3 linked regions of the Arabidopsis thaliana genome follow. The protein of the gene in region 3 purifies or fractionates together with the protein of the main gene of each other region. This does not show direct contact. Each region holds a gene or a part of one and is shown on either strand. Other genes may lie near its edges.

Region 1 (10,901 bases), 3.9 Mb from region 3:
GCTTTGTTCATTTCCCTATTCCGTATAAATCCTGTGATCATTGTATTCCATGAAGCAAAGTCCCTCTCCGGCATCACTTGAAAGAGTTGGTCAGCTTCGTCTATCCTATTGTTTTGTGCATAACCTGTGATCATTGCATTCCAAGAAATGATATTTCTCTCAGGCATACAATCAAAAAGTCGTCTCGCTTCATCTACCTTACCGTTCTTTGCCAATCCATCGACCATAGCAGTCCATGAAACGACATCCCTTCTAGGCATTCTTTCGAATAGATTCATCGCCTCATCTATCCTCCCACGCTGCACCAGCGCTTTAACCATTGAGTTCCAAGAAACAATGTTTCTCTCAGGCATTTCATCAAACAGTTCCAGGGCTTTATCAATTCTCCCACTTTGAGCATACCCATCAATCATAGTATTCCAAGAAACTACATTTCTCTCAGGCATTTCCTGAAAAAGCATCTCAGCTATAGAAAGCTGCTTAGATCTCAAGTACCCACTAACCATGGCTGTCCAAGTCACCACATTTTTCCTAGAATCAACCCTATCGAACAATTCCCTAGCTTCTCTCATATCCCCTAACTTAATATACCCAGTAATCACATGCGTCCATGTGACCACATCTCTCTCAGGCAATCCGTCGAACAGTTTGCGTGCTTCTGCAATTTTACCTACTTTGCACAGCTCCCCAATCAGCCATTCGGGTTGTGGCACACGTGGTCTTGAGCTGGAAGAGTAAATCGAACGTACGAGATTAAATAGTTGCACGGATCGGTCATTGTCTGAGCTGGGAAATACCGATGATCTTTTGTAGTAACTTCTCAGGCGCGACAATGCGCGAGATTGCATCAGCTAAAAGATAGCAATAAGTAATCTTATTTACTGCGTAGGTCGATAATAGGGAAAGACAAGTGTTGAAGCGACCAAGGAGCTTTTTCTCAGAGATACTCGAGTTGTCAAAAACTGAGGCTTGGCTCCTGTCGTGGTCGTCAATGGCGTTTGTAAAACATTGTATGCTAGGAAGAACAAACTCTCGGAAGAACACTGATTTTACAAAGTGACCCATAATATTTATACTTTATTACAAAGTGACCCCCTGTTATAAGTGAACTTTGAAAATAGGGGACTTTTGCAGCAAAACAAGCTCATTTTGGCTTGTATGTCGTGTTTGGCACAAGACAAATCATATTTTGATATTTGGTTTCCTATTACCTTATTCATTTCAATTGTATGGACCTTTGAGTCAAGTCAAAAAAGAAGAAGAAAAAAGAGTCAAGCATAAGGAGCTTGACCAAGAACTGGTTCAAGCTCAGCCAATTGTTGCCTCAAAAAATTGTAGACAGACTCTGTAGAATCCGAAGCTATTCTAACCACAACTCCCTTTCCCTGCAACATATACAACTTTGATTAGCCATTTACAGTCTTTTAATATTGTCTAGTTTTATGTAAAGCTATATATGGTTCACGGTTTCCTGATTGTAGGAAGTGGAAAGAAAGGATGATACCAACCTCAGGGCCGAAAGTGCTACAGGAAGCTATAAACTCTGGTTTCATGAAGCGATTACGAGAGCTTGACTCAGACTTGTGTCTCCGAGAACTATAAGAGAGCTGTAATTGTTCTGACATCATGTTTTTCACATTTTCTTGGACTTGCTTTTGGATTTCCTTCAGCTTTGCCCTTGATCCATTTTCAAACATATTTAGCAAAGATCCAAATTCTCATAGAGAGCACTACCAACTCTAAAACGTGTTCTAAATGTTTTGCAATTGCATACCCGAAGAGTATGACCATTGCTATAGCTTGATAGTCTTGCATCCGTTCGGCTATGCTTTGGATGCTCCTCTTCTCTAGTAGCACCTGCAATGAATAAACCATTACCAAAGGAAGATCTAACCACGCTCATGAATGTTCTATCAATACTTCATACACGATTTGCAAGCGGGATTTTACTTGGTTTAAGGTAAACCATTCTCTACAAATCTGAAAGTGGGTATGAGATTTTAACTAACTGTGTCAAGGAATAAAGGGTGATCATCTTCCAGGTAGACGTTGTTGATGCTCTTATAAAACTCGAAATCCCATTTTTCGCCATTAGCGTGACGCCCGCTTGTGATCCAATCCACAAGGACCAGATTGGAATCTGAAAGCAATCTAAAGATCTGTTTCTGATAGTACCGGGCAGTGGAGAAGCAAGTCACTGGATCTGGTATCACAACCAAAAGAGCTTCACTCCCGATTCTCGCCTACTGCACACAACAAACCGAAAGATCAATCAGGAACATGAATCAAAGAAAATGGTCCTATTCTATTGCAATAGCACTCTGTTCTACTAAGAAAGCTCAAAATGATTTTAGTAGAAATGTGAAAGAAACATTACTTCCAATATCTGTTCAGAACACTTTGATCCTATTGCCTTGTACACCTGTGTGAAATCACAAGATCCATCAACAGAAAGTCAACCACGTAGGATGAAATTAGTGTCCATTGCAAAGAGAGAGAAAAGCCCTAAATTGATTCAACCTTAGTAGAAGACTGCGTTGTAATAACTGCAGTGCATCCATCACCAATTGTGAATTCACATGAAATCGAATCGCCCTACATAATTTGAACAAGAACTAGATTGATTCAAGCGCATCGATGGCAAATTCATTAATAAAGAGACAGAGAAATAGGGAAATACAGAGACAATGCCGCCACCATAAGTGATACTGTAAATCCAGACAACGTCAGTTCCAGCAGGAGCTGCCTGAAAGTTCAGTGTCGCCGGAACTTTAATAACTAAAGATTGAAAATTCGAAACTGTGAACTCTACGTAGAGAGAGAGAGGAGACCTTGCTAGGAAGTAAGAACTTGAGAGGATACTTCGAGAAGCAGCTCGTAGCTGTAGATCTTCCTCCCACTTTCTCCACCACCACTTTCCCTGTCGCCATCTCTGATCTCTCTCCACACTGTCGTCGACTTTCTCACTCCAGTTTGAGTAGAAATGTTGAATATTTTATATGCAAATCTCATCAGTTTCTGGATGTAGAGAAAGATATGATTTTGGGTGAAAAATGTCAAATTTATAAGTAGGAACAGCTCTCAGGTTCTAATCATACATAAACTCGAACGCAATCCAAATTAATGTTACAACAGTTTTATTTCCCACTCTTTGTGTTTTGTTTGGTGGGTTTTCTTCTTCAGAAACTCTCTTGGATGTGTTTATAAGAGCAAAACTGGAGGGATGTGTCCTTAATGGCGGAAATGTCTAACGTTGGTGAAGAGCAGAGAGACTCCATACTTTTTGCAGCAATCAATAGCGTCTTGGTCTCTAATACTGCCTCCAGGTTCTGCTATCACTCCTATTCCCATCTGGCACGCCTCTTCCACCGCATCTTTCCAAGCTGCAATTCACACAACAACAAATTTCCAATTCAGAACGGCTAACATTTGTTGATTGATGAGTCATTTCAGACAGAAGAATGGTTTCGGAGAGAAAAATATATATACCGAATGGGAAGAATGCGTCACTGGCCAAGGCAGCTCCTTTAGCTTCCTCCCCAGCTTTCTTGAAAGCTATTCTCAGACTCTCTACTCGGTTTGGCTGTCCGCTTCCCATCCCCAGCATACAATTGTTCTATGAGCCAACCCAAGAATCAGAATAAACTACTAGCAAACAAGTACAGAAAGAGAAACAAGAAAAGGAATCAGAGAGGAAAATCCAACCTTTGCTATCACAATGGCATTGCTCTTGACATGCTTAACGCAGAGCCAGGCAAATTTTGCATCCGCAAGTTCGCTTTCAGTCGGAGTTTTGTCTGAGACAGAATTGAAGCTGATGTCTTCTGGAGTTAAATCGTCCGAGTCCTGAGCCAACCAGCCGCCACCAACCTGTCTGAGCGATAGTTTCCCTTGGTCATTCTTTTTAGCTTCGAGGATCCTCAAAGTTTTTGATTTCCCTTTGAGGACTTCAAGACCTTTAGCAGTATACTTTGGAGCAACCACGATTTCATAAAACATTCTAGTTTCCCCGTCTGTTGGGCTCCTGAACTCTCGGATCTCCCTCGCAAGAACCTAGAGACAGTTACAGATCACTAAACAATTGAATAATGTATGGGACAACAGTAGTTTGACTTTTGATTACCTCGTCAACTTCAACATTGAAAGCTACAATGCCACCAAAGGCACTAACTGGGTCAGCTTTTACAGCTAGCCGGTAAGCCTCAAGAATATCATCACGAGAGGCCACACCACAAGGATTTGTATGCTTCACGACTACACATGTTGGGTTTTCAAATTCCGACACACAGTTCCATGCAGCGTCAGCATCAAGATAGTTGTTGTATGACATTTCCTGCTCACAGAAATAAATAGAAAAGTTAAACATAATAAGGCTTGAAAGCGAGGATAAGGATATAAATGGCAGTTTAAAACTATTTGCTCTGTAAATTACACCGGACAGAAAAAGTAGCATACTTTCTTACCTTTCCATGATGCTGAATCGCTGTTGCGATACCACCGGCATTCACTTCAGCAAGGCTCTTATCAACATAAAATGCAGCTTTTTGATGAGGATTTTCACCGTAACGAAGAGAACTCTTAAGTACAAGCGGAACTGTAAAGCTGGGAGGGAACTTCTCTTCTGAGAAAGACATGAATATCAATCAATGTAAGTTGCCAATTGCCATAACTAGTGTAAGGAGGATCACATAAAAACAATCACATACTTCCTTCAGTCTGCTTCCATAGCCATTCTGAAACCGCAGAATCATATGCAGCAACATGCTGAAAGGCCTTCCACGCAAGTTTTCTGCGGAATTGTTGGTCGCTCTGTCCTCCTTTGAGATACTCCAAAACAGCTTGATAATCTCCTGAATCGACAACAATGAGAACGTCTTTGTGGTTCTGTTGAAAAAACAATAGAAAATATACATTTATAATCTTGAAAATAATCTTGCAAGTGTAAAGAAAAAGTCTCATATGCACAGATATATGTATTACCTTAGCAGCTGCTCTAATCATAGCAGGGCCACCAATGTCAATGTTCTCAATCCCATCCTCAAAACTGATCCCACCTGGAGCAGTAACTTTTTCATAGAACGGGTACAAATTGACAACCACAACATCAAATGTACCTGTCATAGAATTAAAAAAAAAAAAGGTACAGTTAAACATAAGGAGACACTATAAATGACTTAGTCTCAAGCTTAATGTAGAGGATCAATCAAAGGTCAAAACTCACCAATCCCATGCTCATTAAGAGCTTCCATATGATGCTCCACATCCCTTCTAGCGAGGATACCACCATGTATGTTTGGATGCAAAGTTTTCACACGGCCATCAAGCTTTAAGAGAAGAAAAAAAAAAAGGAGAGCTAAGTTTAATATACTAAACTCAACAAAACAATGGTATAAACCAAAACTTAAATATAAATATCAGCGAGATCACAAGACCAAAACTTTTAGCAAGAGCAGCGAGCATAAGAGAAAAGAAAAACATGCCATTTCTGGAAAATGAGTAAGCTTCTCCACTTTGGTCACAGAGACTCCAGCATTCTCCAAAGTAGAGGCAGTTCCTCCAGTAGAAACAATAGTGTATCTACACAAATATCAATGAAAAAAGGAATCATTTACATATAAGATAGAAACAAAACCAAAATTTGTATAGTTCTAAGTAAGAGAGAGTTGTGAAGAACACATACCCCAATTCTTGCAGACCGTTGCCAAGAGAAGCCAAGTCCCTCTTGTCAGATAGAGATATCAAAGCTTGCTTCTCCCCTGATTCAATTAAAGCCCGATTATTTGAAAATCACTAAAACGTAACTGAAAATCGATCACTGAATTTGAAATTGCAGCAAAAAGAAAAATTGTAAACCAGAGGAGCCTGAGGATTGCGGCTGATTCCTCTGAGCAGTCTGAGACTCTGCCATGGCTCGAACAGCAACGAAACTTGGACACAGCGACGTACGATAGACCTGCTCATTGAAAATTCCACTAATATTAAAAAGTTTAGCAGAACATGAAACAAAGACACAAAGGAACACGTCCACACACAGAGGAGAACTCACAGGCTGAGTAAAACGAAAAGGCGCGACGGATTTTTTGCGAAACAAGCCGCAGAGAATATCGCCGGAGCGAGCACTCACGGAGGTGGCGGTGGCGGCTGAGCTGAGCATAGTAGTCTGATTTTGAAACAGTGTGTAGTGTTGAGCTCTGTTAGGTTTTGTGATTTTGCGGCTAATTTTGGAAATAAATTAGAAAAAAAAATAAAAAAAAAAGGAAAATATGTAATTTATTATTGGCGTCAGGTGGAATTATGTATTTATTATTATGGCCTTGACAGTTAGATTACACCTGGAATATTTGGAAAATTGGAATAAAGCTTCTCTTTTTATTTCCCCCAAAAATAAAACTAAACTATTTTAACTCCAAATTTTAAAAAATTTAGTAGAAACCAAAATTCTCAAGTGTAAACTAATTAGTAAGAAATAAAACTTTATTGGATCAGAGTGGTAATATTACAAAAGACTAACTATGGAGATGACGAAAGCTTCTTATGTTTTATATGATATTTTATTTGCTTTTCAGAATTTTAAATAATGTAAGTAGATAACAATTATTTTATTGGTAGGCATAATAGTTTTTTTCTCGAGAATATAGTTTTGTTTTTCGAATTGTCAAAATTAGAAGAGAGATTTTAAGGAAGGACTTGGCTTCTTCTCCTACTCATCGATCGTCAAACCGAGGACGCTTCACAGTCTCTGGTGCCGCCTTTCCTGGTATAAACCTTTTTCTCTACTTCTCTCCTTCTTTGCTTACTCGTCTTCCTTTTAGGTGTATGCTGTTTTTGAATTTTGATCATTATTATCGAAAATCTCTGGATCCGATGTGTTTCCACCTGAATTTCGGGTAATGATACTCAGATCTTGCATTTTCTAGAGTTTCAGTGGTTTTGATGGCTTGATCGGCTTTTGTTTTTTGGTTGGGTAGAGGTTTTTAGCTCAGTTTTTGGTTCGAAATGACGCTTATTTGTTTCCTTTTTGAGGTTTGGAATTGTTTCACGGACTTGATTGAATTTTGGATTTAGTTCTATGTTTTGATCTGTTGATTTACACTCTCTCAAAGTTACGATGGGTTTGCTAATAGTTTGGTGAAGTTGATCGATTTTAGTTTCAGCGATTCCTGTTAGTTTAAACTTGAAGAGACTAGAAAGTAGTCATTTTAGCTAGTTTCATGTTGGAAAGTATGCACAGTCAGATATTTGTACTGGATGATCTGTCCCTGCTAGAGTAAAGAGTTTTATTGGTTTGTATACCGAAAATGTTCCTTAAATAGTATGGTTTTCTGAGTTTTAGCCGTATGCTATTTTGGTTTTTTTGTTCTTGAATATGTTTGACTACTTGAGTAAAGTTACTCTTCTCCTATTTCAGGCACCTCAATGAGAGTTTGAGTTGTTCATGATAGAAGTCGTCCTGTTCTGCAGCCAAAACGTTAGAAATTTGCGAAGGATGCTTATGCAAAGATTTTACTTGGGTCATGATCATGATATGTCGCCTACAAGCGTTTGTGAGGGAGCTTATGAACTAGATAGATAGACACCTTGAGAAAGAAAACATGGATCAAGCAAAAGGTTATGAACATGTTCGGTATACTGCCCCTGACCCTAGAGATGAGGGACTTGGCTCCATTAATCAAAGGTTTTCCCACGACTCTTCAACTAATGTTAACACTTATGTACGACCTCCAGATTATGGTGTTTCAACCCCTGCTCGGCCAGTGCTAAACTACTCAATACAGACCGGTGAAGAATTTGCTTTTGAGTTTATGAGAGATAGGGTTATTATGAAACCGCAGTTCATCCCAAATGTGTATGGTGAGCACAGTGGTATGCCTGTTTCTGTTAACTTAAGTGCTCTGGGAATGGTTCATCCAATGTCAGAGAGTGGCCCTAACGCTACAGTGCTTAACATAGAAGAAAAACGTCAGAGCTTTGAGCACGAGAGGAAACCCCCTTCTAGAATTGAAGATAAGACCTATCATGAACTGGTCCAGTCAGCCCCAGTTATCTCTTCGAAAAATGATACTGGTCAAAGGCGTCATAGTTTGGTTTCTTCTAGAGCTTCTGATAGCTCTTTGAACCGTGCGAAGTTCTTGTGTAGTTTTGGTGGTAAAGTTATACCCCGCCCCAGAGATCAGAAACTTAGGTATGTAGGTGGTGAAACGCGTATCATACGGATTAGCAAGACTATTTCTTTCCAAGAACTCATGCATAAAATGAAAGAAATATTTCCTGAAGCACGCACCATAAAATATCAGCTGCCAGGAGAGGATCTTGATGCCCTAGTCTCTGTATCTTCTGACGAGGATTTACAAAACATGATGGAAGAATGTATCGTGTTTGGTAATGGAGGATCTGAGAAGCCCAGGATGTTCTTGTTTTCAAGCAGTGATATAGAGGAGGCTCAGTTTGTTATGGAACATGCAGAGGGTGATTCTGAGGTTCAGTATGTTGTTGCTGTCAATGGGATGGATCTAAGTTCACGGAGAAGTTCCCTTGGATTAAGTCCTCCCGGGAACAATTTGGATGAACTACTTCATGGGAATTTTGATAGGAAGATCGATCGGGCTGCTACAGAACCAGCAGTGGCTTCGCTTACTCCCTTAGCAGGTAATGAATCTTTACCAGCGAGCCAAACTTCTCAACCTGTAACAGGATTTTCTACTGGAAATGAGCCATTTTCACAGCCTTATCTAGGACAACAATTGCAGTTCCCCGGACTTGGTAACCACCAAATTTACACGTCAGGTCACATGGCAAGCATAGGCTATATAGATGAGAAGAGGTCTGCTCCTTTACATGTTCAACCACAACCTCATTATATCCCGTATTCTGTGAATCCTGAAACACCTCTTGAAAGCCTGGTGCCCCACTATCCACAAAAACCTGAGCAAGGATTTTTGCGTGAGGAGCAGATCTTTCATGTACAAGATCCAGAAACTTCATCAAAAGAGGCCAAAATGAGAAGAGATGACTCATTTCAGAAGGTAAATGATCATCCTATATCTACTGTCGAGAGCAATCTTTCAGCAAAGGAGCCAAAGATGAGGAGAGAATCCTCAACCCCAAGGGTCAATGAGTATCCTGTTTCTTCTATGCCTAGTGATTTAATAGTCCCAGATGACCTCCCGAAGGAAGAAGCTCCAATTGTCACACAAACATCTAGTTCAACACCAGATCCAAGTTCTTCAACTCTCTCAGAGAAAAGTCTTAGGAAATCCGAGGACCATGTTGAGAACAATCTGTCAGCAAAGGAGCCAAAGATGAGAAAAGAACACTCCACCACAAGGGTCAATGAATATTCCGTTTCCTCTGTATCTAGTGATTCTATGGTCCCAGATCAAGCCCTCAAGGAAGAAGCTCCTATTTCCATGAAGATATCCAATTCAACACCAGATCCAAAATCCTTGGTTTATCCAGAAAAAAGTCTTAGAACATCCCAGGAGAAAACGGGTGCCTTCGATACAACAAATGAAGGCATGAAAAAGAATCAGGACAATCAATTTTGTCTGCTTGGAGGATTCTCAGTATCTGGACATGGTACTTCAAATAATAGTTCATCTAATGTGAGCAATTTCGACCAGCCTGTGACTCAGCAAAGAGTCTTTCATTCTGAGCGAACTGTACGAGATCCAACAGAAACTAACCGTTTGTCTAAATCTGATGATTCCCTTGCTTCTCAATTTGTAATGGCTCAAACAACATCAGATGCTTTCCTGCCTATCAGCGAATCATCTGAAACTTCTCATGAAGCAAATATGGAGTCCCAGAATGTTCATCCTACTGCGCCAGTAATACCAGCTCCTGATAGCATCTGGACAGCCGAGGGTAGTATGTCACAGTCTGAAAAAAAAAACGTGGAAACTAACACCCCGGAGCATGTAAGTCAGACAGAGACTTCAGCAAAGGCTGTTCCACAAGGACACAATGAGAAGGGGGATATAGTTGTTGATATAAATGATAGGTTTCCTCGTGAGTTTCTTGCTGATATATTAAAAACGAAAGAGTCTCTGAACTTCCCTGGATTAGGGCCATTGCATGCCGATGGAGCTGGTGTGAGTTTAAATATTCAGAATAATGACCCTAAAACTTGGTCGTATTTTCGAAATTTGGCGCAGGATGAGTTTGAGAGGAAGGATCTATCCCTTATGGATCAGGACCACCCTGGATTTCCCACTTCCATGACTAACACCAACGGAGTTCCTATTGATTATAGCTACCCACCATTGCAGTCTGAGAAAGTTGCCTCAAGTCAGATACATCCACAAATCCACTTTGATGGAAATATCAAGCCAGATGTGTCTACCATTACCATACCTGATTTGAACACAGTAGACACACAAGAAGATTACAGTCAGTCACAAATCAAAGGTGCTGAAAGCACGGATGCAACTCTGGTAAGCTTATTGTATTCAACCTAAATATGGAAAATCTAATAATTTCACTACTGGCAACGTCTCAACTGATATTTTTCTAATTTCCATAAATTTGATATGTAGAATGCTGGAGTTCCTCTTATTGACTTTATGGCTGCGGATAGTGGCATGAGGTCTCTGCAGGTATGCATTTGTCAGCGTATGGCTTAACAATTTTACAAGCTGTTGCATTTGCCCTCTCTTTTTTAACCAGATACATACAACGACTGAGCCACCACCATTAGTGAACTGGACAGCATCACAACATAGGGCCTGAATAGTTGTTCTAGTGATTTTAAAACCCTAAGTACTCTTAAGCAGTACAGACCCTAAGTACCAGAAGGACTTTTATATTATGTCAACCAAGTTATGACTTTCCAATGCAACCTTTTAGCTGTCTTTCTGTTTTTGGTATTCGTCTGTTCTTGTTTAAAGGACTTTTGTAGAATA
Region 2 (9,654 bases), about 19 Mb from region 3:
TTTTTCTAGATACCTCAACGACAAAGGTAATTTGGCTCTTCCGTTTTTTTGGGATCTGTTTGTTCATCTTCCACGTTCTTTCTTGACCATAATCATCAATTTGATTGTATGGAGTCAATCTGTACCGGGTCATCTCCAGAATATCCTCTAGGAAATGACTACGAACTGGATATGTAAATCCCTATAGTGAAGAAGACAATATTAGTAGTTTCACTGGGGTTAATCAGAGCATATAGATCCAAGGAATATTGAACTCAGCAAAAGATTAAATATCTTGAAATGTTCTAAAGAGGATAAACAAATATGTTTCTTACTTACTGGAATATAAATGACACCTGCCCCACCAAAGTATGACGAGAAAAGCTCCGCATCTAAAGTTGCACTCATCAAAATCAGCTTAAGCTCTGAGCGACGAGATAGCAGATCCTTAAGAATGATAAGAAGGAAATCTAAAATACAAAAGTAATATAGTAAGACACCTAAATCAAGTTAAGCTAAAAATGAGGAGCTGCTTGATAGCAAAAGTATACATACCTTCATTCATTCCACGCTCATGAATTTCATCCACGATAACATGAGTAACTCCTCTTAAATTTCTATCTACCAACAAGCGTCTCAACAAAATGCCTGTGGTGCAGAAGAGTAAGCGGGTATCTCTTCCTTTAACACCTTCCAATCGAACTTTATATCCAACCTTCACAAAAAAGTAAGAAAAAAGCAAGAGAGCTTAATCAGTAAAAAAGAGAGGAATTCAAAGTATAAGAAGGGTCCACGCTAACTAGATATAGGAGCATGCAGGGTGAAACTCACAGATTCACCCAACTGCTCTCCTCTCTCGTAAGCAACCCTCTCCGAAACAGACATAGCAGATATTCTCCTTGGTTGAGTACATATGATACTGGAAAAAGCTCCACGGTTTGCTTCAATCTCGGATTCTAAAATAAACTGCGGGATTTGTGTGGTCTTGCCGCAACCTGTTTCTCCAGAGATAACAATAACCTGCAATACGAAAATTTATGTGGGTAATCGGAACTAATACAAAACCAAGACGACCGTCAAGTTGATATTCGATTTTCTATTTGACACAGATGTCACACGACTGAGCTCAAGCATGCTTCCAGTTATCTTCTGTGCAGACCTGATTTTGTGAAATAGCTGTCAATACTGAATGCCTTTGCTTGAAAGCAGGGAGACTTGTACGAGAATCCAACATTCTTTGGCCTTCTACGGATGCCTAATCAATGGAACACATCAAAACTAAATGGACGATGAAAAAGCATAGATGAAGAATATATTAAGGACCTAATATAAACAGAACCTGCCAATATTGTTGTCGATCACGCAGCTGCAAACTCCTTTGCCAAAGAATTTTGGTGGCAGAGATGGGTAGTGGTTGCTCAGAAAACCATTCATCAGTACTGCTAATGCTACTAGTTCTTGAGACGGAATTGGCAGGGACTCTATCTATCCTATTAGAGCTTTTACTGAGGTATTCTGTGAGGTAAGCTTCAACTCTTTGAAGAAGGTCAGTATGCAAATTCACCTGTAAATATTTTTGTATATATCTGCTCTTTAAAGAAAAACAAGCCGTCTTGCGTTAAGTGTAAGAGAAGAGAGTGAGGAGCAGCGGATAATACCTCCCTCTGTGGCTTCTTGTCATCTAAATCAAACCTATAGTTGGGGAGTGGGATCTTACTGAAGACAACAACCTTAGCATATGCATGACTGCAAAAAAGAAACAGAAATGGTTGTACTAGTGAGAAAGAAGAAAGAAAGGAGCAGCATGATTGATGTACCTATACAATCCCAGGGTTGTAGCCAGAGCAGCAAGTTTATCAAAATCCCGTCTATCTTTTTTCTCCCTGGAAATAACTTCTTGCTTTAAAGAATCTTTCAAAAGCATTGAAAATCTCTTATTCCAATCATCCAAGTCGGCACAGTGAAAGGTACCCTCCTGCTGCAAATTGATATGGTTCCAGTAGAAAGATAAAGGGATTTTTATAAAATGCTACTCGAGAGCAAATCGAAAACTAGAATCGCCATTGTAAGAGCATCAATCAAAAAGCTCAGAGATGCATGAAAAAAAGATGAAGAAGAAGTTAACCGGTTGGCGATCCTCGGAAACGCGGTCATCATAAGCGGAGACATAGCGAACTGGAGAGAGAGGAACAGGATTGAAGCCGTAATCGGAACCAAGGCGCTGGTGAGGCGGAACGTACAGCGAAGGAGGAAGACGATTCGTCATCGGAGCCAAATTCAAAACTCTAAACTCTCTCTACTGTAAGTCAAAAGTAAACTATAAAGAGGGAGAGAGATCTCCGCTGCTTCTTCTAACACTGAACTTGCAACTATGCCAATTTTACCTAATCGCCCTCCAAAAATTTTGTAAACTTAAAAGAAGAATTACACAATTTGGTTTTGCAGTCAAACAGTAATCAGTCTTTCTGAGAGGAAATATAGATTTAAGAGGATGTTTTCACGTTGCTCACATACATATATGATATGATCGTGACTCGTGACTGTCTTTCTTTCTCAGAGACAAAACAAAAAAGGGAAAAAAAAACAAAAGACAACAATGGTCCTTAATCCTTATTACGATCTCTGAAATTAACAAATCAGTAGGTGTAACCCTTGACAAACATTCCTTTCTTGGCATCCTCGTTCTCTCCCTCGGCTGAGTATTTGCCGAGCTGGGCCAGTGAGTTGGCCTTTGCCCTCACCAACAGTGCCTTCTGCGAGGCCTCAATCTTCTCCGGCTTGCCTTGCCATGTTCTGAGCACGGAGTTCTGCAGGGCACGTGCGTATGAGAAGGACACATGCCATGGGTTTGGGCTCTGGTTCATGGCGTTCAGGTTCAGTGTGGCCTCTGCCTCTGATTGTCCTCCTGACAGAAACATGATCCCTGGGACAGCCGGAGGAACCCTCCTTTTCAGCATGGTGAGCGTGAAATCTGCAACGGTCTCGGGAGAGGCCTTGTTCTTGTGCTCAGCGCCTGGGGTGACCATGCTCGGCTTCAACAGAATGCCCTCAAACATGACGTTGTTCTGTGCCAAGTAGAAGAACACCTCTGACCACACTTTCTCTGCCACCTCCAGAGTCCTCTCTATTGGGTGGTCCCCGTCCAGAAGGATCTCTGGCTCCACAATGGGGACAAGACCATTATCCTGAGAGATGGCTGCATAGCGAGCCAGCCCCCACGCAGCTTCCTTCACAGCCAGTGCTGAAGGACCGCAGGGAACACTCACCACTGTCCTCCTAGACAAACACACACAAACATCAAAACTAGGAAGAGCATTTTCACATCAAACCAAAGAGTTAATACCATATGTAAGATAACATGGTGAAATATATGACATACCACTTGGCAAAACGAGCGCCTTGCTTGTAGTACTCAGCAGAGCGTGAGGCCAATCCATCCAAGCCTTGGCACCAAGACTCTTCGTTGGAACCGGCTAGGGGAGACAAGCCCTACGCGGTGGATTGCATTGTCAACACTTCACTCAACACACATAAAAACTCAACTACTTATGATGATGATGACAGAATAAATGGATAAAAAATACCTTGTCAACTTTGATGCCAGGGACGATGTTGGCATCGCGCAAGCAATCGACAAAGGTCTTACCGTCCTTGGTGGACTGGTAAAGAGTCTCCTCGAAGAGAATGGAACCAGAGATGTAATCGCCGAGGCCAGGAGTGGTAAGCAGAAGTTGCCTGTAGGCCTGACGGTTGTCCTCGGTGTTATCCAAGCCGATAGAAGCAAGCCTCTTCCCACAGGTTGCATTGGACTCATCGATCGCCAAGATACCTCTCCCAGGGGATGCAATGCTTTTCTATTACGCAATAATCAGAGAATCTCACTCTACGTTTGACTTTGAGAATTACGGAAACGAATCCAAACTAATAAAGCATCAAAGAGAGAGAGAGGATAAGGAGGATACTCACGGCGGTTTTAACAAGCTCGTCGGAGTAAGCACCGGCGCGGATCGCGAAGGAGACTCGAGGAGGAGGAGAAGAAGAAGCAGAGGTGTGAGCAAAGGAGCGTTGGCCGATCCATGGAGAAGAGAGGGTGTTAGGCTTAACGAAGCTAGCAGACGCCATAGGTAGTACAAGGAAGGTACAAAAGTGATGGTGATCAATCTCTCGGGGACTCCGCGGGACAGAGACAGAGAGAGATCTGGGATTTGGAGGAGAGTGTTAAAGCCAAAGGTTTTGTTTACTACTATTAGTAGTCGTCTACTTTGGCATCACCTACTCCCACCACCAAAAAGCCTCCTTCTCTTTACCATTTTATTCCCCAATTTACCGTAAATGACGCTTTTAACCTTGAGGGAGATACTGGTAATTTTTTCTAGTAGTTCATCAGTCTCTCAACAACAAGAATCTGAGAATAACCAAAACTCTACCGTTTCGTCTACCCAAACTATCCTTCTCCTACCATTGCCTCTTCGTCTAACTCAATCGTTTTTCTTAATTAATCAAATTACATGACCTATCACCTCTTCAAGGAGTGTGATGAAAGAGAATGGGCCGGATATTCCCTTTTTTATCTGTTGGGCCACAATAGTAAACAACTTATATAACAGGCAAACTCTTTTACGTAATTGATTTTTGGGCCCAATAGTAATAGGGCTTAGTTTCAGATAAACAATAAGAGCCCACGACAGCTTTGGTGTTCTTGGGTCTTTTTCTTTTTTTTTTTCCTTTTTATTAAGGCAACCATCCAATAAGTCCAAATATTGGTGTTACTCGTAACAGGCGAGGAAGGTGTAAACAAGAAGAGAGAAAATGCAAGTTCCGAGAAACGTTATATATATGCGACATGAGAAAGTGGCAACTTTTTCTTTCTTGTATCTTACACTACTTTTTTGTATTTTTAAAGTATCTTTGATTTGATAACAGTTTTCTAAAACTGTTGGCCACAATTTAAATGCATATTCATATGTATGTTCAAATTTACAGCAACTCAGTTTGACCCCACAAAAAAAGGGAAAAACAACAACAAAATTCAAGACTATATGACTAAATATGTTCAAGTGCTTCAATTATATATTAGGTACAAGAATATGAATATAATGCCAATCTTATCTTAATCAGAGTAGGAACTAGTAATTTTCATATTTTAAGACAAGTTTGAAAGTTGTTTTAATTAAACATGCGTAAAGTTCCATTCTCTGCTCTCAGATGAATGGCATATCGATCATAATTCACCTAGTACTTCTTCTAGAGTGTTCTACGCTGCCTCTACGTATTAGAATATAGTATATGTAAAAGGTGTTGGTGCAGATCTTTGATTAACACTTTGGTCAGTCACATATCTAATGATTTTTAAACGATAAACCCCAAAACGCGTCTTCATACAGTTCACATGCATATGTCACCCAGAAGAATTGACTCTCAGATCTTTCTAGGTGTTTGTGTTCACACTTCGCCACGCTCTCTCTGTTAGAAACGATTTAAATATACAAACAAAGCTAGTCAGTGTTTCCCATTCGAAAAAAGAGAAAAGACAAAAGAGAGTGTGTTATTTGTCTTGTAATGAAACCTATTGAGTATGGTTGACTGGTTGGTGCGTAGGGAGAAGCAGAAGGTGATAGGACCACGTTGTTGTTTATTTGGCAATTCTTTTACAAGCCCTTGGTCCTGTTTTCTCCATCTTCTCTACTTCATTTGTCATTTTCATTGTTTACTTATTAAATTTACATCCATGTTAACTATTTTCATTTAAACAACAACGTACGTGGACCTATCGACTGATCATCCCTTGGTCGACAAACAATGATGGATCGGAACTTGATTTGGTTTTCTTGAGTTATGTGAAAAAGCATCGCATTATCAATTTTAACAACTTTTCTATAGCTCTTAATTCTGTCTAGCTAATAGACCTATAGTTTCTAAAACAAATACTATAGTCTTGCAAGCCGCATGCTACCTAATGCAGTATATATTTGGATAATTTCAAATTGTCTTTATTATTTCCTCATATTTTTATTTAATTATTTAGATAATTTTTATTTATTGTTTTATGAATTTTCTAAAATTTTGGATTTATTATAATTAAGACTTTTGAACTTAAAATTGTATTCAGTTAATTGATTAATAAAATTAAGCTTTTACCTTTTCAGAGAAGAGTATTCTCTAATTCCTTGCTTTCGGTAGATCTTGAAAGATTTCAACGGTTATAAAAAGATGTAGGATTCGGTATTCGAAGAGAATCAACGAATTCCTTACGTTCTCTCGTTTCTGTTATTCTGAGGAATCAACAGATCCAAAAAATTCTAGTTTTCTGGTATTCCGAGGAATCAACGGATGTCTAGTTCTATCCATTAAAACTTCCGCTACTTCAGTTGGTATCAAAGCTAGAACTAGAGATTCGTTGATACACTTAACAAACAAACAAAAAAAACTTAAAATCAAAATTTGACACACACACCAAAATGAGTTACCTTTTACTCATTCATGTTCATACTATATAAAATATATTTTCGTCGAAACAATCACTCCTCCTAAAATATTTTAAATTTTTAATGCAAAAAATATTAGTTGTGTTTTGTTTATTTTATAATAAATGATTTAATCATATAAACAACGAGGATCGATAAGACACTCGCATGCTATTTTTACCAGGATTACATTAGAATGAGAGTCACAACCACATAATGAAGACGATCGTCTGCTAGCTATGTGACGAGAGATGGTAAGTGGTTTCAGATTTTATGATGTAAAGTGGAAGGAGTGGTCAAATAATTAGGTCAAAGAGAGTCGAGGTGGTTGTCACTGGTTGGCTATATCGATGACTAAACCACACACCTACACCTTCAATTTCTATTTTAATTATGTTTTCTGAATAACTTAATACTATCTTATATGATCGTTAGTAACAAATATTTTTTTAAAAAAAATTTATGTACATTCATAGGTAGCACGAAGTGAACAAATACTTGAATTTTCTTGCGTCAATATAGAACTAAGATCATACATACATGATACATAATGAATTTATGTTTATATTAGATATGCGTCACAAGGGAGACAAGAAGCGAAGCGAGGATCGTGCTAAAATCTTGGTCAAGTTCACAAATTATGAATTGCTTTATATATTAAACAATCTCTCACAAAGGATGGATAATTTAATTAGTTGGTTCCCTGTCAGTTGTTAATTAAGAATTAATCACAAACCGCCCACTTCCTTTTTATATTCCAAAAATGCTTCTCCAATGTTCTACACTTAAGTATATCATATAATTAAATGAAACTATGAATGAGTAAAATAATTGAAACATACTATTTAACTAGCTAGCTGGGGGATTTGTAAATAATATAACAAAGGTCGACAATTGATACTTTTTCCATGTTGGGAAATTCTGAAAACTGATCAATATATATGAGTAATCGACAAGAAAATAACTAAAACTTAGACTTTGAATGGTTATAGCGGTTTAAGAAGACAAAAATGTCTATATACCAAATCGTGTTTTATTTACTATTTATAAATTATATTATGTAATAGTGCGGATTCCAAAAAATAAAAAATAAAAATTGTTGTGGACTAACTACGAACCGTCTTTAAATTAAATTTGCAGCGGATTGTTGTTCGATCTAAAATTAGTATGGACTGAACCGCTAACGGATTAATCTGCACTAACCACAACATCCATTCAAAGACTTAATTATTTACTATCATGTTATATTTGTGGGGCATTAATAAGTGAAACATATTAATAGTAATTAAAATGAATGATATGAGCCATGATCTTAGGACTAAACATTGGGCATGCTAAATTGCTAATAATATCTATCACAAGAAGAAGCGCGACACAAAGGAATAGATGCGATCATGAAAGATCATTATGATGATTCAGTGTTTTTCTTCTTTAGGTTCTAAAGCTCAATGATTGAAGGCCTCTGTAAAATTTTGTTTGGTCTTTGGAGATAGAAAGGAGCTTAGATAGAGATATGAAATCAGCATCCAACAACATTTTAGAGTCATTCAATTTTGACTTTAGTATCTCTTTCCAATAAACCGAAAATGTGGGTGAGAATAAAGAAAAGTGAAATGTTTTGGGTCATATTCATCATAAAATGCAAATAGCGGGGCGAAAAGTATGAAGATGGGAAAAAACGAAAAGGACTGAAAGTGAAAGGGCTTAACCAAAAGCAAAATAATGGGTCCCACAACACGTGGCCTGTGTCATTTCTTCTTCTTCTCCATCCATATAAAGAAGAAGAAAGAGATGAGATGCAAGGTAGTATATGCAGCAAGAACAACAACAAGAACCAAAGTAACAAAAACAATCTCTAAAACCATATCAATGGGACTACAAGGTCAGCTCTCCGACGTGTCATCAGATTCGATCCCACTGATGCTACTGGCTCTCCTCGCAACTTTCTTCAGACACGTCCGGTCTCTTCTCCTCTTCCCTTCTTCTGCCCCCGTTGTTGTTGTTACTTCAAACCTCAGCGTCCTCGCCGACCAGCTCAACCTAAATCGCCTCTTCTCGTACCGCTACTCCGACAACGCAGCCTCTGACTGCATCGTGTGTCTGTCTAAACTCAAGACCGGAGAAGAAGTGAGGAAGCTAGATTGCAGACACGTCTTCCATAAGCAGTGTTTGGAAGGCTGGCTTCAACATCTCAACTTCAATTGCCCGCTCTGTAGATCTCCATTGCTACCTCATCATCATCAGGGACATGGCAGTGATGCGTCGATCTCAGCCTTCCCTCTTCGCTCTACCTCTACTGCATCATCTCATTGATTTTTATGTGAAGAAAGAAGAAAGAAGAAAGCAAGAGAGAAGAAGATGGAGGGAGGATGCTTTTTTATTTATCTTCCTTCTCCTCTTTCCTTTTTAGGAGAAGATTCTTATTTCTTACTACAGAAGATTGATTCTTCTTATATATCTATATATATAACCTTCTATATTTAGCTATGTTTTTGAGGAATCTCAGATCGGAAGAGAGGTCCTTTTGTTTTTCAGATTTCCACTCTGTAAATTCTTAGTATGAAAAGAATCAAATTAAGCTTCATGTATTCCTCCTTGGCTGGTAAATCTTTTTGTAGTATATTTGACAAAGCCTACTACTATTTAATTTTGCATTCTAGACAATCTTGAAGCTTTACACTATGGACTTTGTTCTGGTTTCCACACTTTGCATTATTGCTATTGACGTTAAAAGGTAGGTAACACTATTTATTGTGTCGAAATTCTACAAGAAAATATCATAGCACCTCATTTGGTAACAAACTACACTTGTATTAATTTTGTTATTGTAAAGACTGTCTGTGTCTAAAGTTTATCAAAAATATCCTATATGTAGTAATGTGAGTTGCAAATTCGTCCAATCTTTTAGTAACTAGTTGTAGCTCCGCTAAATAGTTTTCGTTTTCTATAGATCCGCCCATGATAACACCCACATTTCAACTTGAATAAAGTTGTACTAAGCGATCAATACAGTATTACAAGGTGTTTCTGAACATATGCTCAACTAACAGTTAACACATTATAATACAATATGAATAAGACTCAGTTAATCATTTAACATTTCTATTTGCGAATAAGAATATGCTCTAGTTTCGTAAACAATGTGTACCATATCCTTTTGAGGATTGAGGTCCGTTTTGGCAGTATTCCTAACGAATTCTAAAATATTTAG
Region 3 (11,661 bases):
GGGGATTATGTTTTTTGTTGGGCCTTAAGAAATGGGTTTTCTAACAAAAAGACATGAAAGGGAATTTATGTTTTTTGTGGACAATCTCCCATGTTATGAATTATGATTCTCTGGAGATTACGAGTCATTTGTTTTTTGGTCTTGCACGTTGTATGTTGAATCTGCTATTTCTTTTGGAGTATTAACTATAGGTAATGGTGTCGTGAAGGCAAAAGCAACAAATTTATTCTACGTATCAGTGCGAGTTTGCTCTTACAATTTTATTAAATGCGTTCAATTTTATTGATTAGCAAAGGCGATCTCTTGGAGCTAAAAATTTTTGCACTTAATTTATAAACAATGTGCAAAATTAAAACAAAATAATATCTATTAATAATATGTTATAGATACGTTAGATCATAAACTGTATGTACGAACACTAGCGGCGACACAACATACAAGTCACCCTTTTCTAGCATTCGACCAAAACCACTTATATTGAGATTTGAGAATGCGATGTCCCAAACCTCACAGACTCTCTGTTATGTGATGTTTTGAATAAAAGAGAGGTCAATGCTCTTTCACGCGGGAGAACATCATAATCGCAAGTGCCCTCAATTAATGTAGTGTATTCACCAACGAGCAAGGCAAACTACAAGAAGAAAAAAGGAAAAGAAAACTTGAGAAGTTCTTTGAAAACAAAACGTCCAAACAAAAGTGTAACTGAAAAATACAAATAGATATAAAGATTCATTACGTTAAAACATAAGTATTATTCCATAAAGCGGACTAAAAAAAGAGTCTTCATTGAAAAAAGAGGATTCAGAAAGGCGTCGACGAAATCTTTACTATCGATGATAGAGCGTCACAGCATCGACACGGATCGGAATCTGATGATAAATTTCGTCGAAAGCCTCGATAGTATTTCGAAGATGAGTTTAAGAGGAATGCTTGCTGTGGAGTTTTCGGCATGATCTAGGTTACGTGATGTACACGGTTGTGAATCTTCCATTGTGGATTGGTAGTGATAGCCCTACAAACATAAAAAGGGACCAATATATATAACACATGACACTTTTGTTTTTCCATAAATAAGTAAGGGAATTTCCGGTTGTGCCATATTTGTAAGCAAAAATGGAAAGATTCTAGACAGAATTCCGTAAATTCCTTTTGTGTCAACCAATTAGACTACAAAGTAGATGTAAGACTAGTTGAGACGATTGCAATTAACATGTAAGGATTACATGTCTTTGCGAAATAAAATCAACTAATCAAGAATAAAAGTACAATAGAGTTGTTGTTTACAAAGATCAAAACTATGTTAATTACAAGAAAACAATAAAAATATAAATAAAAGCCTAAAACATCATTTATTTAATCAACCAATAAAAATAATTTTGCATTGAAAATTTAAAACATCATTTATTTAAAAACCAAAATGAAAGCTTTAAACATCATTTATAAAAAGATTGGAAGGAGTATATTTTTATTTGGACAAAGAAGATAATGCTTATGGAATGTCTCTTACTTCAAATGCAAACCTCGGTAGTACCTGTAAGATACTTTTTTAAATAAGTGACTTGGCTGCTTCAACCATAGCTTCAATGGTGATACCAAACTCTTTATAAAGCTTTCCTGCTGGTGCACTTGCTCCAAACGTATCAATTCCAATCGATTTCCCTTTTCCTCCGACGATCTTTCCCCATCCAAAAGTCGATCCAGCTTCGATACTAACTCTAGCTGATACATCAGATGGCAAAACACTTTCCTTGTATGCATCTGATTGCTCGTCGAAAAGCTCCCAACATACAAAGGAAACAACTCTCACACTTTTGCCTTGTTCCCTTAACTTCTCTGCAGCTTGAGCAGCAATCTCTAGCTCTGATCCAGTTCCGATCAAGATCACATCGGGTTTGTTACCGGTTGAGTTGTCAGAAATGGTGTATCCACCTTTCTCGACGCTCTCAATAGATGTTCCTGGAAGTTGAGGCAGCTTTTGTCTAGATAAGGCTAAGACAGAAGGTGTCTTACGTTTTGTGACAGCGATTTTGTATGCACCGGCTGTTTCGTTCCCATCAGCTGGACGGAACATCATAATATTGGGCATGGCACGGAAACTGGATAAGTGTTCGATGGGTTGGTGGGTTGGTCCATCTTCTCCAAGACCAATGGAGTCATGGGTCATAACGTATATAACACCAGCTTCAGACAAAGCCGAGATTCTCATTGCAGCTCTCATATAGTCAGTAAACACAAAGAAAGTTGCGCAGTAAGGGATAAAACCGGGGCTGTGAAGGGCAATGCCGTTGCAGATAGCTCCCATACCATGTTCCCTGACACCAAATCTAAGGTTTCTTTCTTCAGGTGTGGCTTTTTGGAAGTTGCCGAATGCTTTAAGCATTGTCATGTTGGAAGATGCAAGGTCAGCACTCCCACCAAGAAAACCAGGCACAGCTTTCGCAAGTGCGTTAAGACATTGCTGAGACAGGTTTCTGGTGGCATCACCCGGAGAGTCTGGTGTATATGTCTAAATGAAAATTTTAAGTTGCCTAAAATAAGAGCCTTATATATGAAGAATACTGATAAAACGTTATAGATTACCAGAAAGTTCTACTTACAGGAAGTGCCTTCTCCCAACCAACGGGCAATTCACCTGAGATAATAGATTTCAACTCTGCAGCTTCCTCCGGATATTTCTTCTCATAAGCTGCAAATTTGGCATTCCAATCAGCTTCAAGAGCAGCCCCTTCGGGCGTGTGACGGCTCCAATGGCTAGAAAACATAAGAATTATAGTAAATTACCAAAGCAGGTTCTCATACCACAACCATAACCATAAATAGAAGTGCATAGTTAAGTTCTACTTACCTTTTGACATCCTCAGGTACATGGAACGGCTCATATGGCCACCCAAGATTGTTTCGGGTAGCCTCAACTTCCTTCTCACCAAGCGCAGCTCCATGGACACTGTATGAGTTTGCCTTGTTGGGAGAACCATAACCAATTGTAGTAGTGACCTAAACCATGCCACAAAACAATTAACACCAAAGGCCATGAGATCAAACGTTGCTTAATGAGTTCATGGCTAAAAAAAGTGTGCAGATACCTTAATCAAAGTGGGCTTGTCTGTTACAGCCTTAGCTTCCCTAATGGCAGCACGGATCTCATCATAACCATTGTTTCCATTCTTTACCCAGATAACATGCCATCCAAGAGCTTCAAAGCGTTTGTCCACGCTCTCGGTAAAAGCAATATCTGTGTCTCCATCAATGGAAATGTGATTGTCATCGTAGAAAGCGATTAGCTTTCCAAGTCCCCAGTGACCAGCTAGAGAGCAAACTTCATTTGAAATCCCTTCCATCTGACAACCATCTCCAAGAATCGAATACCTAATCCAAAGCAGTCAGTTTACAACATCACAATCCAAGAAAGATAACAATAAAAGTGCCGTTGAAGGAGTCAAAATCTTACGTGTAGTGGTCAACAATCTCATTGTCAGGTTTGTTAAATCTAGCAGCCAAATGCTTCTCCGCAAGAGCTAAACCAACAGCATTTGCAATACCTTGTCCAAGAGGACCTGCATGTTGGCAAATACAAGCAATGCTATATTACAAAAGATCAACATCAACTAAAACACACAAAAGAAGCAGAGAAAATCTAACTAACCAGTAGTGGCTTCAACACCAGGAGTCTCAAAATTCTCAGGATGTCCTGGAGTCTTACTTCCCCATTGACGGAAGCTCTTCAAATCTTCCTCCTAATAAAAAACTTCAACACTGCTTCAGCAAATCTTAAGTTGGTTCTACAATTCTAAATCTCAAGACTCCAAAAATCACCAAATGAGCAGGGAAACGGAACAATCTGTGTATTTACTATGTAATCTCAATAATGTAAACTAAAAGGATACAAACTTAATAAGCAGAGTAAGAGAACACAAACCCTAACGCTGTCGTAGCCAGCAAGGTGAAGCAGAGCGTATTGCAACATGCATCCATGTCCAGCAGAGAGAACGAAACGATCACGGTTAAACCAGTAAGGATTCTTGGGGTTATACTTCATGACTTCATCGTACAAAATGTGAGACATCGGAGCACAGCCCATAGGAAGACCTGGATGACCTGATTTCGCCTTCTCAACCGCATCTATTGCCAGAAACCTGATCGTGTTCACCGACTTATCAACCAGGGACGAATCAGAACTTGTCACGATTGCCTCTACGGCGGCTGCACGAACCAGAGGGCGGAGAGAGTGACTGATCGTGGAGGCGTTTCGTCGACGGGAAGAGATGGTGCCACTGGTGCGTGGAGAAGTGGATTTGAGAGCAGAGAAAGCTGGTATAGAGACGCAGTTTTCAGAGCCATTGTGAGAGATGGCTCGTGTAAGGAGAGCTTGTGAGAGCGCTAGAGAAGAAGTAGAAGCCATTGATGCTCTCTCTGGTTAACTGAGAGAGAGAAAATAGAAGAGAAAGCTTCTCTGCAAACCTATTTTAGGAGACTGTTGCTATTAATAAACCAATGAGATCTCGATCTGACCGTTGGATTCAGAAAGGACACAATCTTGACGGCTGTGATGCTCTATGGCTTTAACAATTTTTCGAATCTAATTCTTTTGTTTAATTTTCAACTAATCATTGCTTTTTACGCTAATTATTAAAATAATAATTTAATTTAAGTAAAAAATAGATTGACAATGCGGCATGGTTGGTGTGTTAAGCAAAAGCCATGGTTATGACAAGGGTTGGTGAAGAACCTAATTACTTTAGATTTTTTTTTTTTTTGGGGGCAAAATTGCTTTAGATTTAGGAAATACATTTTAGTCACCAATTCACCAACTCCGGTATTGACCCAGTCGGTGACGGCGTAGCTGACGAAACCTTTTTTTCTCTCAACATCCCACGTTGCATAGCACGTGTCTTTATTTTGCTCATTTTTTCTTGTTATGTTTGCAATTAGTGGGCCTTCTTATGACCTTCTTTTGTACCGAATATTTGCCCATTTGGGCTTTATGAAACAATTGGGCCGAAAAAAACTCATGCAGTTTAATGGAATCAAGAACTGAACCAAAACTAAACCGGAGAAAGCTTACTCATGTCCTTGTGACTGTGTCGTGGTGTGTCATTACATCATCTTGACTCGCTTGCTACTCGAGGATGAGTTTCTTAGACCTCTACTGGTTACAGTGTATGAAGCCGAAGCTGAAGGAAGTGAAGGGGACTTATCGATATATGCGTAACGCTCATCACCATTCCAATACAGAATGACTCGGTTGGTGCACGAATGAGACCAGCTATCGCCTGAAAACAGCACAAGTTGACCATTTAAGTATCATAACAAATGAATGATGATGATGATAATAGCAAACTGAGATGGTAGATTTGAGTTTGGCTCACCTAAAGCAAGCGCTAGTTGAAACGAGCCTTCACTAAACTTTGTGGTCACCTGGTTTAGTAACACGACCTGAGATTGGATCATAAGAGTTGATTAGGAACCTCCACTTAAGCTAGTCAAGGATTGTATTGTGAATTAGATCATTTCTTCTTACCGCAAGTGAGAACTTTTTGGCAAGCTTCATGAACTTTAAAGCCATTTCGCTGAGCACTCGTGTCCTCTGGGCTAAGTCATCATAGTCCTGACGGAAATGAAAGGTGATACTGTCTACGATTACAACTTTAACCTGCAACCATGAAAGATTAAAGAGAGTCTTAGTGAGCCGCCGAATTATGTCACAATATACACTTGTAGCAGCAAATCAACGGGATGGAACTTCAAAATTATTATACCTACATCTTTGTTTTCAGAGATGAACTTTTCAAGATGATTGACCAATGCGATTTGCTCGGTGTAACTGCAGACACGGAAGTAGAATATGTTCTCTAAGATATCTTCTGGTTTCATTTGTACTTGATTTGCTTGAAAATGTTTATGCATGTATCCTGTGTATTCTTCCATGTCCTCTACACAAGCTTCTGCTATCTGTAAAGCACGCTCCACCATGAAGCTACCTTCTGTATCTGTAGCATACAAAAAGCATTAACAACCAAGTAAGTGATCAACCAAGGCATTAGTCATCACTACTAAAAGAAACATACCGATATATATAGCTTTCCCTCCAAGACCACCACACTCACGTGGAATCTGAACATTCACAGAGAGCTGGATCCTGAAACCAGATCGAAGTTAACAGAAGAGGAAACACTCTGATGATGATGAGAAAGTAGAGGAAAGCAGTGAAGCGGATTTACCCAATCTGAGTCTTGCCAATCCCTGGTACCCCACCTTTGAGAAAATAAGCAAACCACTAAATCACTTAATGATCTCAAATTGGACCAGAGAAAGAATGATAATGGAGATGACATACCAATCTCTGTAACATCCCTACAGCTAATTCCACCGCCCAAAATGTTATCAAGATCAGAGCAAGATGTAGTAATACGCGGCAAAGACTCCTCCTCGTGAAGCATATCCCAAGCGTTCTTTGCTCCTTTGTTTAGTCACAAAATTTCATAAAGAGAATCCTTGAGTGAACCATTTAAGAAGGAGAAAAACCACCAACATAGCTCCAAGGAGGAGTTCATCAAGTTACCATTTATGAGTGAACGGCTTCCATTGCAACAACTTTGATTAGCCAGCTTCAAAATCTCAAATGCTTCCTCCTCTGTGATATTTGCATCTACTCACACACCAACGATATCAAAGATGACTCAAAACACACACACACACATATATAGAATTATTCCAGAAATAAGCCTTAAACAAGAGACTAAATAGAACCCTAATTATCAACCCAAGGACTAATCAATTGAGGTGTACTGTCTGTGCTAATCAGAGAAAAACGAGCAACAGATTCTAATCTTCTAAGATTAGGGTAAAGCAGAAATTTACCTCGAGCGAGATCAGAAGAAGAGACGGAAGCAATCGAAGACAGACAAGTATAACCGGCCGATATCAGTTTTCCTCTAATCGAAGGCGATAACGGTAACCTCCATGCCTCCATGACTGAAGTCGCGAGTGAAGTTTCTTCAATCGCCGGCGATTTACGCCGCCCAAATGAAATCATTGTTGGCGCCACATATATAACGATGAAAGTCTTTTAACTCCCTATCGTTGAATCAATATTTAAAAACTATTGGATTAAAAATCGTATAATTCTCAGTAGTCTAGTGGTTCAACGACATCTAAATTTTACTAATGTCGTGAGTTCGATCCATATTTGCAACTTTTTTTACGTTTTTTTAATTTTTTTCCCTTTTTTTTTCGTCGAACAACTTTTCATTTAAAGCCCAAAATGGGCAAAGATACAAATGGATTTGAGACCAACAACCTTAAAACAATGAAGCCTGCCATTTTTCTTCAAATCCATTTGAAAACTCCTTAGCAGAACAGACTCTGTGACAATCGATTGGTCTTCTCCACATCTTCTTGACCGGAAATCCATCTCTGACCGCCTCGAAGCTACAGAACACTCCGCTCCACAACCGATTTATCGATAAAAGACGTCCCATGACTTTCCATGGACGAGCAAAGGCATCATTACTCCCTGCCTGAGAAGATTAGAGCATATGTTGAAGCTGAAAGAATTCCTCACGGCCACTGAATCTTTAGAGAAAAATTGATCTCTGCAAGCTTCTTTTTTTCTCCTCAATGTTGGCGCCATTTAATGTTGGAACTAGGAATAAACTAAAAAGTATAATGAACCAGACACGGTTTAGGTTAACCGGGACCAATGATTGAACGAAATTAAATTAACCGGAAAAGCGTTTGTTCCTCAGTGAAAAGAATACAAGGATTTGGATATCTGGTTTTAAGTTACAGGAGACAATCTTCTTGCTACGTTTGTGTTTGTTGTTGAAGAGAATCTGCTCTAATGATTGAAGTAAGTGACGGATGGATCCGTGCAGTTCTCATAGAACGAGCTTCGCTTCTTCCTTTCGCATACTCCTCGCCAAGAGGCCACCTCGGTCGAAGATCATACTAAATTCATAACCAACAAAACATCAATCTCCAAGTTATCAGTTTTTCAAACAATAGAATCTTTACAAGTACCGAGTTTTGTTAAGAAAAAGTACCACATAATCCTCAGGTTCAGTTGCAGGTGGAGGTGGATCATATCTTCCTACACGAAAATGCTCGAGACCAGTCCAAGCCACCATTACTCCTGGTGAGACTAATGAATACTTGTTAGTTTCTATTCTCTGTGTCTCTAATTTGATCAGTAGGAGAATTTCAAACTCTATTTACCATTGTCTGTGCAGAGGCTAGGAGGAGGGCAAACAAGTTTCAGGTTTTTGTTTTCGACAATGTTATTAAGTCGGAGTCGTACATACTTGTTTGAAGCAACACCACCAGAGATTACCTGAAGCTTAGTCAATATTAGTCTAGAAGCATTTGTCAAGCAAAACAGAGGTTTCTTTTTCTTGTTCTAAACCTCACCATATGTTTAATAGAAGGCTCTAGTTCTAATGCCCAGTCTATTGCTCGCTCACATTTTTCTTCCAGATGCAAGACAGCTACTCGCTGGTTCATACAAACTGAAAATGTTTAGAAATCAGCATTTCACTAGAACATTAAAACCGGAGATAAATTTGTACCTGGAAAGAAGCGGCAATATCAGCACGGTTTCTTCTGTCTTCGTTTGTTGCAGAAGAGACGGGACATTTAGCATCACTGCACATCCAGCAAACGACCAATATTTTTGTAACACAAAGCTTCAGCATATGTGACACAACGCTGATAAACAATTTCCGAAGCTGATTATAAGATCTCACTATTTTACATTTCTTTGGCTTCAATGGCTAGCCTCACTTGTGTCTTCAAACCAGCATAAGAAAAGTTGCAATCTTTATGATATTTCATTGGAACCTGATAAACATGGTAAACAATATCACAGAAATGATGTGAACATTGAGTAGAACATGAAAAAAGATATCTAACCAACCAGCAACTAGTTTGTCACTTACATTAAACTTAACAGACTTTGCATCACCCTCCAGAGCAAGTTCTTCAACAGCTGGTCCACCACTCCTGTGCATATCGAGGCCGAGCCATTTAGCTGTCTTGTCAAATGCCTCACCTATAGCATCATCTACTGTAGTCCCAAGTTGTGTGTACTGACCAAGCTTATGCGCAAGAACTAGAAGATTGTGCCCTCCTAAATAGAAAAAAAGAAAAGGGGCGTTTCAGTTTAGATAGAAACCTAATCCCTACGGTGAAACTGATTTTGCTTAAGAATAACTTCACTAAGATGATAGTTTCTCACTTACATTAAACTTAACTGATTTTGCAATACCTGATATAAGCAATGCCATGAAAGGGAAGCTTAATTCTTGTTCCACTAATCTACATAGACAAATCAGACGCTGATGAGCCAGTCACAAATCTCAAAAAATGGGAACAAAACCATAACGCGAGCAGATTAAGCAATACCTAGCAACGAGAGCATGAGCCTCCATGTGATGCACCCCAACGATTGGGAGACTGAAGTTACCAGCAACTCTTCTAGCCTTGCGCACACCAACTGTATAACTCAAAATAAACACTTGTGTCTAAGTACTCTAACAACACTCATCATTCCAAAGTACAATGAGTGGATTCTTATTTCTCCAACTTACCACGTAGACAGAGGCTCAAACCAGGTCCAATGGTAACAGCAACAGCAGAGAGATCCTTCTCGGTCAAATTGGCTTTATCAAGCGCGTCTTGCACAACCTGCAACCGATGAATCAACATTTTTGTGTGCCGTTAGCATTAAACCCCACCGGCCTAAAAATATGCACATCTCAGGGCAAAATGAAGAATCTGGACCAATTGTGAACAAAGACTGAATCTAGATACTTGAGAGTTATCGAGTCATGCAATGCTTTGTAACGATGAATAGTCTATATTACCTTATCGATAACTCGGGAGTGTGCTTCTTCAGCCTGTTTAGGAGCGACGCCTCCATATTGGACAAGCAATTCTGCCTTAATGTTGCCAATTCCGAGATCAGAACAGGTGAAACTTAACGAATCATATAAAGGATAGAAATTTTTAAAAGTGAAAGGCTTTCTCAGACAAAACTATGTATTCAAGTCATTACTGGAGTCTTCTAAACATGAAAAGCACGCCAAAGAATCCACTAAAGCAAAGGAGTGATCGTTACCTGAGAAGAAATGACTTGACTGAGAATTTCACCATTACCTCTCACCTAAAAGCCACACATTCCAACATCAGAAAGGTTCAGTAAACTAATACTATAAGTTAACACGACAAGAAGAAGAAAGGTGATTAAACGGACTTACAACAGCTGCGGCAGTGTCGTCGCAGCTCGTTTCAATACCCAGAACAACCAAATTATCATCAAAATTCGGGTTTTCGCTATAGGGTAAGGAGGAAATTCTTGTTTCGGTAGAATAAAAACGTGTCCTTTGAAAATTGGGTGAAGATGAAGGAGAGATTAACGAGAAAGTCGGGGTTTTGGTTTTAAGCTTATGGTGTTTTTGTAATCTGAGAGAATTATTATTTCTCGCTAGAATAGAGATTCCTGGATAAAGATTGAATCGGGAAATCGCCGGAGAAAGTGTAAGAAACAGACGAACCATTTCACCGAACCGAAAGAGAAAGACGGAAACTTGAGCTGTGTGCAGAAGATGAGCTGAGGTTTGGATTGCAGCCTAATCCGGTTTAAATCAGAACCGGTTTAAATTTGACCATAGTGATTGGGTCCTGGTTTAGAGGTTTTAAGCAAGTAGAAAAATAATGAGCTTTACCATTTCCGTTCACTTCCTAGAAAAGTAAGTATATACCTTTCTCTGTATTTCCTTCACCTCCGGCTAAATCTCCGGCGACCGCGTAACTTGTTCTCCGGTCTGAATAGTGAATAAACACACACACGGAGCCAAATCCAGGTGATCTCTTTAGTTTTCGATCTCTTTCTCTAGATTCAGATTAAATTATAACAGCTGATTGTCTAACCACAAACCTAAATTGCAAAAAGCTTGTGAACTTTATCTGGAAATGAACACTGTCGAAAGATCTTTAGGGTTTGTGAAATTTATTTTTTACATTTTCCATAGCTAGATTTCATTTGAATGATAATTCACTTCGAGATCTGTAAACACAAAATGTTTCAAATTGAGTCTTCTTCTGTTCCACAAGTTTGATTCTAAGACATTTTTTTGCAGGAGAAATTAGGTTTGAATTAGAGAGATTAGGAGAATACAAATTGGTTTGGTGGTTTTCAAGTATGCTACCAAGTGGGTTGAAAGAAACCCAACTCCGTGAGAGCAACAACAACCAAAAAGTCCATCCTCAACCAATGGAAGAGTCTATCAATCAGAATCCTGAAGCTATGGAAGCACTTATCTCCAATCTCTTCGGAAACATCTCGTCTTTGAAATCTGCTTATATCGAGCTTCAAAGTGCTCATACTCCTTACGATCCCGAGAAGATTCAGGCAGCGGACAAAGTTGTCATTTCTGAACTCAAGAATCTTTCCGAAATGAAGCATTTTTACAGAGAGAATAACCCCAAACCTGTATGTGTCTCTCCACAAGACTCTCGTTTAGCTGCAGAGATCCAAGAGCAGCAGAGTTTGTTGAAGACTTATGAGGTTATGGTGAAGAAGTTTCAGTCTGAGATTCAGAACAAGGATTCTGAGATCACGCAGATGCTACAGAAGATTGAGGAAGCAAACCAGAAACGGCTTAA

What was found.
Region 1: the proteins of AT2G45290 (region 3) and AT2G35040 fractionate together in Arabidopsis thaliana (co-fractionation; one large-scale study listed by BioGRID). This does not show direct contact.
Region 2: the proteins of AT2G45290 (region 3) and PDE345 fractionate together in Arabidopsis thaliana (co-fractionation; one large-scale study listed by BioGRID). This does not show direct contact.

What each region holds. Positions count from the first base shown.
Region 1 is NC_003071.7:14,762,116-14,773,016, forward strand, and holds AT2G35040 (AICARFT/IMPCHase bienzyme family protein), read right to left. Parts: upstream 6,204-10,901; 5' UTR 6,155-6,203; coding exon 6,047-6,154; intron 5,973-6,046; exon of another isoform or gene 5,954-5,972; coding exon 5,854-5,953; intron 5,757-5,853; coding exon 5,681-5,756; intron 5,578-5,680; coding exon 5,481-5,577; intron 5,325-5,480; coding exon 5,222-5,324; intron 5,115-5,221; coding exon 4,981-5,114; intron 4,885-4,980; coding exon 4,707-4,884; intron 4,622-4,706; coding exon 4,464-4,621; intron 4,334-4,463; coding exon 4,124-4,333; intron 4,054-4,123; coding exon 3,706-4,053; intron 3,617-3,705; coding exon 3,490-3,616; intron 3,384-3,489; coding exon 3,232-3,383; 3' UTR 3,030-3,231; downstream 1-3,029. Other genes in the region: AT2G35030 (Pentatricopeptide repeat (PPR) superfamily protein), read right to left, coding at 1-848; URED (urease accessory protein D), read right to left, coding at 1,272-1,385, 1,509-1,677, 1,775-1,857, 2,010-2,243, 2,378-2,422, 2,521-2,595, 2,681-2,746, 2,832-2,930; AT2G35050 (kinase superfamily with octicosapeptide/Phox/Bem1p domain-containing protein), read left to right, coding at 7,593-10,433, 10,536-10,595.
Region 2 is NC_003071.7:92,391-102,044, forward strand, and holds PDE345 (Aldolase superfamily protein), read right to left. Parts: upstream 4,474-9,654; 5' UTR 4,102-4,473; coding exon 3,946-4,101; intron 3,834-3,945; coding exon 3,564-3,833; intron 3,469-3,563; coding exon 3,359-3,468; intron 3,256-3,358; coding exon 2,616-3,255; 3' UTR 2,337-2,615; downstream 1-2,336. Other genes in the region: AT2G01130 (DEA(D/H)-box RNA helicase family protein), read right to left, coding at 14-181, 319-449, 535-694, 811-999, 1,139-1,234, 1,319-1,543, 1,638-1,725, 1,797-1,957 and 1 more; RHA2B (RING-H2 finger protein 2B), read left to right, coding at 8,166-8,756. UniProt on the Arabidopsis thaliana protein: Plays a key role in glycolysis and gluconeogenesis.
Region 3 is NC_003071.7:18,665,475-18,677,135, reverse strand, and holds AT2G45290 (Transketolase), read right to left. Parts: upstream 4,640-11,661; 5' UTR 4,400-4,639; coding exon 3,917-4,399; intron 3,735-3,916; coding exon 3,644-3,734; intron 3,555-3,643; coding exon 3,449-3,554; intron 3,367-3,448; coding exon 3,084-3,366; intron 2,995-3,083; coding exon 2,846-2,994; intron 2,752-2,845; coding exon 2,598-2,751; intron 2,507-2,597; coding exon 1,547-2,506; 3' UTR 685-1,546; downstream 1-684. Other genes in the region: RAD51C (RAS associated with diabetes protein 51C), read right to left, coding at 5,095-5,270, 5,367-5,433, 5,519-5,650, 5,761-5,987, 6,066-6,136, 6,219-6,252, 6,335-6,457, 6,560-6,646 and 1 more; GCP1 (glycoprotease 1), read right to left, coding at 7,804-7,947, 8,043-8,131, 8,215-8,329, 8,407-8,490, 8,565-8,640, 8,750-8,835, 8,934-9,124, 9,263-9,312 and 5 more; AT2G45260 (myosin-4 protein (DUF641)), read left to right, coding at 11,198-11,661.